Macaca fascicularis: one gene and its partners. The protein of the gene in region 1 interacts with the protein of each later gene in a biochemical or structural test. Links are inferred from orthologs where the notes say so. Each region holds a gene or a part of one and is shown in the gene's direction. Other genes may lie near its edges.

Region 1 (4,079 bases):
CTCGGCACTCCTGTGCTTCCCTGGCCACTCGGGCAGAAGTCATTAGCGCTGCTGAGAAGGGATGAAGCTGGGGTTTCTGTGCACCGAGGCCCTTAATCCGGATGAGATTTTTTAAACTCCCCACAGCCTGCTATGCCAGTTCTATTTCCAGCTGCATCTGCCCCTGGGTCTTCACAGCTCCTCTGGAGGGGATTAGGCAAACCATGCAGCTGCCTATAACCTCACATCTTGAGGGAAATAGTCATTGAATCTCTGACCTCTGGGCTGGCTGTCTCGGACTCTGAGCTGCCAGGGAACCAGGACTTTCCACCCGGTGGGACTGCCTGGGGGCTTTTGAAATGCCCCTGCCTGTCCCCCACTCCCGGAGATGGTGACTTCCTGGGTCTGGGCATTAGGAGTTTGTAAAACTCCCCGATGATTCTTCTGTCCAGTCCAGGCTGAGAACCACTGGTCAGAGGCCTGGGCACATCCCAAGGCTTGTCCAGAATCACGGAGTGCAAGTGACAGAAACAAAAGAGGCTGCTGATTGCCTCACTGAGCAGGTGAAGCCCAGGCTTGACCACTGATTAGGCCAGTTGGACCCAGGAGTTCAGGCCGGAGGATGCCTGCTTCCCTCTGCTCTGTCCCATGGGCCCCAGCAGCCTGGGCCCACATCCTCTCAGTCGGAAGCCGGCTCTCACCAGCTGGCTGGGCTCACAGCCCCACCCTGAAACCAGTAGTGTGGCCCGGGGGGCCCCGCAGGGCTCAGACACCCAGGCCTTGGGTGGTTGAAGGCCAAGAGCTGGGGGCCGTCTGGGAACCACACAGCCTGGAGTGGGAGGGGGTGCTCCTCAAGGGACAATTGAGGCGCTGGCTTTCAGTGGGAGGAAAGGGAATGGCTATGAGCTGGACAGAGCCATTATGTCACCAAGAGAGGCTCTGTGCCCCGGCACCAGGTGCAGACTGTCTGGGCCCAGAGCCTCTGCTGCTTCCCCTCCCGTCCCCCAAACACCAGCCCCTGGCCAGCCTGGCGGCGTTTCCGACTGAGTGTGGCTGTCAGTCCTCTTGCGGGCCTTGCTCCAGCCAGACTCCCGCCTTGGGCCTCTGCCAGCCCGGCACTGATACCCACGGGCAGAGCTGAGACGAAGGAGAGGGCCCCTGGGGAGTATCCGCAGCAGCCAATCCCAGAAGACATCGATGTCAGGTGGTTTCTAGAAATCGAAAGTAGACTTTTCTGAAGCATTTCCTGGGATCAGCCTGACCACACTCCACCCTGGGAGAGGCTTCTGGGTCAAAGGAACAGTCTGCAGAGGGCTCTTGTGGCTGGAAGTGACGGGGCTGCAGCACAGCCATCGCAGCTGCCCCAGCCAGGTAAGCTGCTGCCTCCAGCTCCCAGGTGGGCACCTCTCTCTCTCTCTCTCTCTGTTTTGTTTTTTTTGTTTTTTTTGTTTGTTTGTTTGTTTTTTGTGACAGGGTCTCACTCTGTCACTCAGGCTGGAGTACAGTGATGCTATCTCAGCTCACTGCAGCCTCCGCCTCCCGGGTTCAAACGATTCTCCTGCCTCAGCCTCCCAAGTAGCTGGGATTACAGGCACGCACCACCACGTCCAGCTAATTTTTGTATTTTTAGTAGAGACAGGGTTTCGCCATGTTGGCCAGCCTGGTCTCAAACTCCTGACCTCTGGTGATCTACCCGCCTCGGCCTCCCAAAGTGCTGGGATGACAGGCGTGAGCCATCGCGCCCGGCCAGGGCACCCCTCTCTCTACACAGGCAAGTGGGGGTCATGCCTCCCTGTTTGCACATAGGCCTGGAGCTGGGGATCCAGGGCTCCTGAGCCCAGCAACAGTCATTGCTGCTCCCAGGCCCACAGGACCTCTGTGTGCAGTTGGGCAGGTGGCACGAGGATACCAGCCAGAGGGCGAGTGGGTTAGAATCCAGGTTGGCCTCTCTCGGGCCTGTGCATTTGGCCTAGGCCTGCACCCACTCCTAGGAAGAGCACCTTTTTTTCTGATTTGCATGAAGGGGGCAACACAGGCAGCCGGGTCTCAACTCCCCGTATGAAGGAATCAGGCAAAAGTCCCAGCCGCTGCCACCCAGAGGGCGGAACGCCACCTGCCAGGTGCTTCGTTGCCCACTTTTTTTTTTGAGACGGAGTCTTGCTCTGTCACCCAGGCTGTAGTGCAATGGCTCACTGCAACCTCTGCCTGCCAGATTCAAGCAATTCTGTTGCCTCAGCCTCCTGAGTAGCTGGGACTACAGATGCGCACCACCACGCCCAACTTCTTCTCCTTCTTCTCCTTCCCCTTCTCCTTCTTCTTTTGTATTTTTAGTAGAGGTGGGGTTTCACCATGTTGGCCAGGCTGGTCTCGAACTCCTGACCTCAAATGATACACCTGCCCCAGCCTCCCAAAGTTCTAGGATTACAGGCGTGAGCCATCGCGCCTGGCCACTTGGCCATTTTTCCAAGGCCCTGAGTTACTCTCCCAGGACGGACAAACCTGGTGGCTGCAGCGGAGTGAAGTGGCTGGGTACAGAAGTGGAGAGGGCGTCCACCCATACCGGCGTGCCTGGGACTGAGGGTTTCCCAGGACACAGGGAAACTTCAGTGCTAAAACAAGCACAGTCCCCAGCACACAGGACAGGCAGTCACACCCTGGTGTCTTTAGCCATCTACTGACATTGACGCAGGGAGGAGAGGTGGGCTCCACCGAGCAGACCCCCTGCCTATGGCTGTGGACGTGGAGCCCATTTACCTCTCTGGGTGTCAGCTTCTTCACTTGTAAGGTGGGGTGTAACTAAGGTGGTTCTCAAGGTCACGGTAAGGCCTCCAGTGGTACCTGGGGAGCCCTGATAAGGGGTGGCTGCGCAGTGCCAGTGAGCGTGAGTCCCAGAGCAAAGCTCTCACCAGCCAGGGCACCCAGCTCCCAGGGTGCTTGTTCATGCAGACTCCCATGCAGAGGGGCTAGGGCGAGGCCAGCCATGACAGCACTTCCAACAAGCTCTGGCGATGCCATTGCAGCCGTCCACCAGGCCCCCTCTGAGCAGCCTCAAGGTCACCAGGCCCAGACTCCCAGCCGGTGCCCACAGCAGTGCCACCCAGAGGCCTGCCCCTGGCTTGCTGAACTGAGGGGACAGTGTCACAGGATTCTTACCGAGCCAGAGAAGCCATACCTGTCTCTCCATTGGCGGGGTGTGGGGGAGGGAGGCAGGCGAAGACAAAAGCGTGGAAATTACACGGAGGCAAGAACACCAGGCCAGAAGGCGGAGACCCGGACCTCCCCAACCGCAGCCTGAGTGTCAGTGTCTTGGGGATACTTCAGCATTTCCTCCCCGTTCTTCCCCCAGCATGGCCCACCCTGGGCTGCAGCCCTGACCCTTTTCCCCTATCTTCCCCATCCGAACACCATGGAGCCCCGATGTGTCTCCTTGCTGCTTATCTGTCACCCCGGCCCAGCCTCCGTGGCCTCTCCTGACGAGTCCCCTCCCATCCACTCTGCAGGCTGCCTTTGCCTGCTTAGGCCTCTGGGACAGTCCCTGCGGGGGTCTGTTGCCTGAAGATTAAGGCCCAGATCTTAACCAGGCTCACCCGGCCCCCCGACCTGGGCCTGTGCCCATGGCCTCCTCCCTCTCCACCCTCCCCGCCCATGCCCATGTGGCGGCCTTGCCCGGGGCCTGGTTTTTTGAGATGAGCTCACTTGCCTCTAGTCACCGATTCTTGCTGTCCTTAACTGCCAGGGGGTACCCCCAGCCCACCCCTTCATCTAGCCAAGTCTTACACATCCTTCCAGGAGCATGCTGCAGACCAGGTGAGGGGCCCCTGTGGGGCGCTTCCATAGCACCCATCACACTTACTGGGACCACAGTGGGCTCTGCAGGAGAGGGATCCCGCCTGCCACACAGCCCAGGTCGGGCTGAAGGGTTAATGGGCAGGCCGGTCCCCGGGCTTCGGGCCACCTGGCTCCCGTGCCTCACTCTGCCGCTTCTGTCTGCAGCAGGATCTGGGCATCCAAGCATGGCCATGGCCCCTCCGAGGCTCTTCTGGGTGTGGTTGCTGGTCGCAGGGACCCAAGGTGAGCTGAGCCCCTGGGAAATGCCAAAA
Region 2 (4,366 bases), on another chromosome or scaffold:
GGGAGGCCGAGGCAGGTGGATCACCTGAGGTCAGGAGTTCCAGACTAGCCTGGCCAACAAGGTGAAACCCCGTCTTTACTAAAAATACAAAAATTGGCCGGGCATGGTGGTGGGGGCCTGTAGTCCCATCTACTCAAGAGGCTGAGGCAGGAGAACCTGGGAGGCAGAGGTTGCAGTAAGCCGAGGTCATGCCACTGCACTCCAGCCTGGGCGACAGAGTGACACTCCATCTCAAAAATAAATAGATAAAAATAAAAAAGAGAGAGGACAGGGTGCTGTCATGCACATCCATGTAAAGAGACCACCAAACAGGCTTTGTGTGAGCAACATGGCTGTTTATTTCACCTGGGTGCAGGCGGGCTGAGTCCGAAAAGAGTCAGCGAAGGGAGATAAGGGCGGGACCGTTTTATAGGATTTGGGTAGGTAAAGGAAAATTACAGTCAAAGGGGTGTTGTTCTCTGGCAGGCAGGAGTGGGGGTCACAAGGTGCTCAGTGGGGGAGCTTTTTGAGCCAGGATGAGCCAGGAAAAGGAACTTCACAAGATAATATAATTGCTTAAGGCAAGGGCTGGCCATTTTCACTTCTTTTGTGGTAGAATGTCATCAGTTACTGCAAGGCAGGGCATTTGCACTTCTTTTGTGATTCTTCAGTTACTTCAGGCCATCTGGGCGTACGTGCAAGTCACAGGGGATGCGATGGTTTGGCTTGGGCTCAGAGGCCTGACAGGTGCACAGAGCTAGGACCCCACCCCCTCCTGGCCTGGACCACCCTGGGCCATCTCCCCAGCTTGACACTCAGGCCAGAGGCTGTCAGGCCAGGGTGCTTTGACTATCCCCTGCATGCCCCTGAAGGGGGCCAAGCCCGAGGACTTAGCCAAGCCCTGCAACCTAAGGCTTGGCGTGCAGCCCAGCCTTTCTTTAGCCTTAGCTAGGAGCGAGCAAGCGCTGCAGCAGCCGCAGTCCTTGCTTCCGGGGAAGGCCCGGGTGGCGCCAGGGCCTGTGGTTTAAGTCAGTGGCCCTCTGCAGACGCGCACGCAGGAGCCACGCCCTGGTCCCTGCCCTGGAGTGGCCTGGTCTCTCCCAGCTCTGATTCCTTGAAGGACCCTGCACCTCCTCAGCCATCTTCTCTGGGCACCCCCTGAGCCCAGCCTGCTGGCCACAGGCCCCTTCCCGCCAACTCGTGGGCCTAGCTCATCATGAAACTATTTTCCATTGGCTTCCCCCAATCTCTGCCACAGCACAATTTCGGTGGTGGCGGGGCAGGGGGAGGTGGAGAGGGATGAAGAATAGGAGGTGGAGCTTGGACCCTCGTTGGGGGGCGGCAGATGGCCACTCTGATTGGTCACCTCTGCTCCAGAACTGGCTTCAAAATTCCACGGACTCCGCCCTCGGTGGCCCCCAGCCCTGTCCTGACTTGCAATTGGCTGAACTTCCAGGGGGCGGGGCTCACCCGGTCCGGTCCCGTTAAAAGGGTGGGAGCGCCCGGGGGCCCATCTCTCTCGGGTGGAGTCTTCTAACAGCTGGTGCGCCTCTCCTGGCAACATCCTCCTGGCCTCAATCATGGCTTGTGTGAGTGTGGGGACCCCACCCCAAGGTCCAGGGGATAGGGCAGGAGCTGATGGCCGGAGGAGAGCTGGGCAGATCGGGAGCAGGGTTCTAGCCCCAGCTGTGTGGCCTGGAACCACTGCCTTCTCTTTTCTAGACCTCAGTGGCCACATCTGTAAAATGGGGGTGGGCGCCATGGTCCCTCAAGGCCTTCTCTGCATTGATAATTGTTTGGATTCCTCCAGGGTCTGAAAGCACAGTTATTTCTGCCCAGGGTTGACATTCTGCAGCTCTCTGAGTAGTGAGCGTGGGAAGGGTGTGGCCAACTGGGGGACACCCAGGCCACTATATCTTTCCCCCTCCTCCACCCCAAAAAGCCTCCCGTCCCCTCCCCCCTGCAGCTGTCCCAGTCACCAGGCCCGGGCAGAGTCACCCTCTGCTCCAGAATACGCTGAAAAGTCGCCAGGACCCGAGACAGGCTGCCCAGGATGGGCCTTTCTAGGTCGGGGGTGGAGGGTGGTTGTGTCCAGGCTGGTGGGAGGGAGGGGACCCGGGGAAATTCCCTTCCACCACCCCCAAGCTGGGAGGTTGGGGTGGCAGGGAGGTGAGAATCTTCCTCGGGCCCCAGGGAAAGAGTTCAAGTTTCTGACAGAAGAAACCACTCAAATCAGTTAACTCTTGCCCACCCACTCGGGGTGCCAGGGAGCAGCAGTGCGCAGCAGTTTTCTCAATCTTGTTAACCCTGAACCAGCCTGGCCACAGCCCGACTGCAGGCCACTCCCTAATGCAGAGGGGCCGTGTTCTTCAGGGTCTCCTCTCTAGCCCCTGGGCCTCTTCGCAGAGAGGAGCTTGAAGGAGAATAGTAGTGTCCCCCTAGCCACTTCCTCTCCAGCAGAGGGGTCGACCCCTGCATTCAGTGTGACTGTGGGCCAACTGCCTGCCCCTCCCCAGCCTGATCCTCTCTATCTGCGATGGGACAGAGCACCCCACCTCCCAAGCCACTCTTGAGTTCAAAATCCCCAGGCCAATCTGCAAAATCTTCTAGAGCCTGTCTTCTAGAACCTGATTCACATTACAGATTGAAGCCAACCCTGTTGGGAATAGGGACTTTTCCAGGACCACACAGAGAATCAGAGGCTAGAAATCACAGCCCCATCCTGTCCCCAGGCTTCCCCTTGGCTTGGTCAGAGGATGCCGGGCGGGAACAACCCCACTCCCACCCCCAGCCACCCCCGGACACTTCGGGTATTGGAGGCCTTGTCCTCTAACCCGCTGGGCCGGGGCTTGTCTGTGCAGGGTCTGGTCGCCAGCAACCTGAATCTCAAACCTGGAGAGTGCCTCCGAGTGCGGGGCGAGGTGGCCCCCGACGCCAAGAGGTGAGAGGTGAAGTCAGGGTGGTGGGCGGCAGGGATGGGGGCTTGGTCCAGCCGAGAGGGCGTGGCCGGCCAAGTCCACGTCTCCTCCCTGGCCGAGAGTGGGTTAACGGCCGGCCGACGTTGCTGCGCTTTCTGGGTGACTCACTTCCCCCGCGGGGTCTGGGCGCCCCCACCATTGCCGCCCCCTCCCCCGCTCCCTCCCTGCTGTAGCCTCTTAAACTACAACAGCTGCAGCCTCGTCATCTATAATACCTTGGTTCCCCCGCCCCCACCCCTTTCCGGTCTGGGCGGGGCCTGCATCTGGGGAGGGCGGGGAGAAGAGTGAGGCGGGAGTCACCGCCGCCTTCCCTCTGAGTCCCTCCCTCCTGCGTCAGGTCATTCATTCACTGGCTCAGTCCTGTCCTTCTTCCTTCACTCCTCGTTCACTCAGCCGGCTGCCTTATTTTCTCAGCAGCTATGTGACCTTGGACCAGTCAACCAACCTCACCTAGCCTCATTTTGTTAGAAAAACAAGGGGGGGAGGTGGTTGTGTGGAGGAAGTGAGATGCCGATGGTGTAGTGATGATGAGGAGGGTGAGGATCCGCTGATATTGTTAAGAGCTGATATTGTTAAGAGCCGTACACTTCTCATGAACTAATTTCATTGCAACCAAACCCTCAGAGGCAGGTATAGCTATTATCACCACTAAACAAATGCATTTATTATTTTATTTTTTGAGACGGAGTCTCACCCTGTCCTCCAGGCTGGAGTGCAATGGCTTGATCTCGGCTCACCACAACCTCCATCTCCTGGGTTCAAACGATTCTCCTGCCTCAGCCTCCCGAGTAGCTGGGACTACAGGTGCCTACCACCACGCCCAGCTAATTTTTGTACTTTTAGTAGAGATGGGGGTTCACCATGTTGGCCAGGCTGGTCTCGAACCCCTGACCTCATGATCTGCCCACCTCGGCCTCCCAAAGTGCTGGGGTTACAGGAGTGAGCCACCGTGCCCAGGAGTATTATTATTTGTTAATTCACCCCATAATTACTAAGCATCTCCTTCTGGTGTGCCCCACTTGTGCTGGGCACCAGGAACACAGATGTACAAGACAGGACGTGAAGTTGCCATCTGGAGGAAGTCTCTGACCTTGACCAAAAGGGCTAGGACGCTAGTGACTTCAAGAATCTAGCAAGTCCTCCTGTGCAGCCCCCATTGTACAGATGAGCAAACAGGCAAGGAGGGGCAGGGACTAGCTCACGTTCACACCGTAAGCAGCTGTCAGGGCCAGAGCTAGAATCCAGGTTTCTTGTCTCTGTTAGTGAGTTCTTCAAGCAAAGTGTGTTCATGGAGTACTGAGTGACAGATTAGTCAGTCGGTGGGGCTGGAGCTGGCCGAGGTGGCCTCACACCCACCCATTACCCCCCAGCTTCGTGCTGAACCTGGGCAAAGATAGCAACAACCTGTG
Region 3 (3,643 bases), on another chromosome or scaffold:
GATCTTCTCACCTCAGCCCCTCAAGTAGCTGGGACCACAGGCTGCACCACCACACCTGGCTAATTTTTGTATTTTTCATAGAGACAGGGTTTTGACATATTGTCCAGGCTAGTCTTGAACTCTTGGGCTCAAGCAATCCGCCCACCTTAGCCTCCCAACGTGCTGGGGATTACAGGCATGAGCCACGCCCAGCCAATATCTTGCATTTGAATCAAGTAGTGGACATTTATTGAATCCCTTGGGGCGATGTCATTTCTAAAAGTGATTGAGTAAATATCACAGGTAGGCAATCAAGGATATTCTGGTTGTTTCAAGGTCTATGTAATTCAGGCCATGGCACAGGTGATCCTGAGCTTAGGAAGAACTCACCCATGCCTCAGGGGCCCAACTGCCCTCCTCCCCTCACAGCTGGAGCACCTGCAACAGCTGTGAAGCATCTTGTGCTTTAGGAGCCTTGACATGGGAAGGAACAGGAGAAAGCAGGATTGATGTCTCCAGACCACCCCTTGTGGCAGCTTTGGGCAAGGCAAACCCTCTTTGGTAGCATCTTACACCCAAATATTTTTTTCTTTCACGTTGCCTGAATTTTTTCACCTTAGTTTGTTGTACTGCCAAAGATTTTATTTGGAATAACAAGTACCTTTAAAAAAAGAAAGCACATACAAACTTCAGCTGCCCTTTGAGGCTTAGCTCCAACAGCACTTTTCCTTTCCTTCTTAGAAGTAAGCTTTCTGCGTTTGAATTCCTACAGCACACATTCTAACTCATAGCATTCGTGACTTGTTATTTCACATTTCCATGGATGCATCTCATCTGCCTTGCTGGACTGTGGGCCCTTTGGCTTTTTTTAAAATTCTTAATCTTTATGGGTACATAGCAGGTATATATATTTATGGGCTACATAAAGATGTTTTGACACAGGTATGTAGTGCATGATAATCACATCATGGAAAATGGGGCATTCATATTCTCATTTATTTGTGTTACAAACAATCCAAGTATACTTTTAGTTATTTTCAAATGTACAATGAAATTATTGACTATAGTCACCCTGTTGTGCTGTCAAATATCAGGCCTTATTCATTCATTATAACTATTTTTGTCACCCATTAACTATCCTCACCTCCCTCCCACTCACCCACCCCCAGTACCTTTCCCAGCCTCTGGTAACCATCCTTCTACTCTATACCTCTGTGGGCTCAATCGTTTTGAGTTTTAGATCCCATGGCCCCTTTGACCATGCAGATCATGGCCTATTCATCTTCGCACCTAGACAGGAGCCTGCGCAGTGCCTGACCAAGAGCAGGCATAAGTGTGTGCAAATAGAGGAATAAATAACAGGGCAGCAACTATGTCTGGAGGTCATTGTCTTTCCTGTCTCAGTAGGAATCAATCACTGCTGATCTTCAAAAACCCAGAGGAGGGGATGGGGCAGTTAGTGGGGACAGAGGGCAGATGGGCAAGATGAACACACCAAACCCTTTATAAGGAGTAAGGAAGGAAGGTGAAGAAGAACCAAAAAGAAACCATGACTGTTTACATTTTTCACCTGGAAAAGGGACAGGACCTTTTCTTCCTCCCTGCCTCCTCCTCCCTCATGCATTGTATGGCCTCTTGGTCTCAGGATTCAGAGCACAGGCTAGTGTGATGGAAGTTTAAACTTGTGAGTTATATTTAACTCACAATCTAGCTGGAAAGCATCCCTGCCCCTTGAGGAGATGTTGTGTGGTCCCACACTACTGACTTAGGCATAATGCCTAGAGATTGACTAGAACTGCACAATGAACTAGTGGTGAGGTTCAATTTAATGGAAATCGGTGAAAGCTTTCAGGATCAAATGATAACCTTTGTCTCTTTCTTTCTCTCAGGAAAATGGCAGACAATTTTTCGGTAAGTGTTTTATGCCTGTTTCTTACCCTCGATCAACTCCACATGGTTGAGCGTTGGGGGTTTTGTTTTTACCATGACTTTCCCTTTTCACCCTCCCACTGTGTGGCTTCCCCTAGACTCATTTGTCCAACGAGGGCTTGTGAGCTGGAGCCTTGTTTTCCCAGCAGCAGATTTGGGAAGAAAGCCAGGCAGAGCAAGGCCTGGGACTCACTCACAGTAACCCTTTCACCAAAAGGCCCAGGGCGGAAGGGAGTGGACTCTGCTGGCAGGAGCTGAGAAATCCTCTGAGTAGCGGGAAGCGCGGTACAGTCTGGGCATTCTGATGTTTGTGATTGTTTTTCTCACAGTGATTAAAAAATATGTGCTGTAAATAGAGGAGCGCTAGCTCCTGACTTGGGCTAATTATGAAAATGCAGCCCTCCCTGATTTGAGACCTTGGGAGGCAAGAACAAAGTGAAAAAGCATATGTAACCCCAACGTCTAATTTTAGTCTTAGACACTCAAAACTATTAACAAGTGGAAAAAGTATAATGCTATGCATGTAATGCCTTTGCTATATTCCTCTCCTTCTTAGATCACATATTCCTATTTCCCTGAAAATTCTGCTTTTGAGAATGCTTTCTGTCCTGTAATTGTTTATGTCTTTCTTTACAGCTCCATGATGCCTTATCTGGGTCTGGAAACCCAAACCCTCAAGGATGGCCTGGCCCATGGGGGAACCAGCCTGCTGGGGCAGGGGGCTACCCAGGGGCCTCCTATCCTGGGGCCTACCCCGGGCAGGCACCCCCAGGGGTTTATCCTGGACAGGCACCTCCAGGTGCCTACCCTGGAGCACCTGGAGCTTATTCCGGAGCATCTGGAGTCTACCCAGGGCCACCCAGTGGCGCTGGAGCCTACCCATCTCCTGGACAGCCAAGTGCTCCTGGAGCCTACCCTGCCACTGGCCCCTATGGCGCCCCTGCTGGGCCACTGGTGAGATGGCATTCCTCCTTTCATGTACTTGGCATGCAGAGGGCTTCAGGGAGACCCTGAGCTTTAAACCTGCTGTGACAGCCACTTCTCAAGGGCCAGCCATGGGCATATGTTGGTAGAATCGAAAAATTAAGTGTTCATGTTGAGCTTATTGTGTGTGGTTAGTATAAACAGAAGGTAATGAATATTTTGAAGGCACTGATAAAGCTGCTTATGAATATAAACCAAAATTGTAGTAATGGAGAACATTTTGGTTATTATTAACACTTACTGAGTACATGTCAATAATATGCATCTACCTGGATGATCTAATTTAACCCCATTACCACCCTATACGATACTGTTAATAACCCCATTTCACATGTGGGGAAATGGGGCAATACAGAAGTGATATAATTTGTCCAGGGTCATTGAGCAAACAGGTAGAGGAACCAGGGTAATCTGGTTTTGAAAAACCTTCTAAAGATAATTTTGTGATCTAAGGGTTGAATTTTCATGCAAATTAAAATATGTCTTAGCAAGTGAATTCTAAATGTAAAACATAACTCTGTGGGGGATCCAGATACATCTCAGCCACAGGATCCTTCCTTTCCAGATTTATAGTCTAGTTAGATGATAAAACATATAATAAATATGAGGAAAGAGCTAAGTACCAGTGTGGGATTAGACCATTTCAGAACTATGCAGAAGATGGCACAAGATAGCATTGTCTCCTTTTAGGTCGGTTCAGAGTAGAAAGACTTGGGGGAGTGGGTGGCATTGAGATGGGCCTATACCAGAG

The links.
Region 2: the proteins of LGALS3BP (region 1) and LGALS1 form a complex in vitro, tested with the Homo sapiens proteins (2 studies listed by BioGRID). The link is inferred for Macaca fascicularis from reciprocal best matches to the Homo sapiens genes LGALS3BP and LGALS1.
Region 3: the proteins of LGALS3BP (region 1) and LGALS3 form a complex in vitro, tested with the Homo sapiens proteins (4 studies listed by BioGRID). The link is inferred for Macaca fascicularis from reciprocal best matches to the Homo sapiens genes LGALS3BP and LGALS3.

What each region holds. Positions count from the first base shown.
Region 1 is NC_088390.1:85,383,112-85,387,190, reverse strand, and holds the start of LGALS3BP (galectin-3-binding protein), read left to right. Parts: upstream 1-1,217; 5' UTR 1,218-1,375; intron 1,376-3,972; exon of another isoform or gene 3,973-3,975; 5' UTR 3,976-3,992; coding exon 3,993-4,050; intron 4,051-4,079.
Region 2 is NC_088384.1:13,959,247-13,963,612, reverse strand, and holds the start of LGALS1 (galectin-1), read left to right. Parts: upstream 1-1,491; 5' UTR 1,492-1,559; coding exon 1,560-1,568; intron 1,569-2,840; coding exon 2,841-2,920; intron 2,921-4,327; coding exon 4,328-4,366. UniProt on the Homo sapiens protein: Lectin that binds beta-galactoside and a wide array of complex carbohydrates. Plays a role in regulating apoptosis, cell proliferation and cell differentiation. Inhibits CD45 protein phosphatase activity and therefore the dephosphorylation of Lyn kinase.
Region 3 is NC_088381.1:122,996,847-123,000,489, forward strand, and holds part of LGALS3 (galectin-3), read left to right. Parts: intron 1-1,868; 5' UTR 1,869-1,872; coding exon 1,873-1,890; intron 1,891-2,544; coding exon 2,545-2,862; intron 2,863-3,643. UniProt on the Homo sapiens protein: Galactose-specific lectin which binds IgE. May mediate with the alpha-3, beta-1 integrin the stimulation by CSPG4 of endothelial cells migration.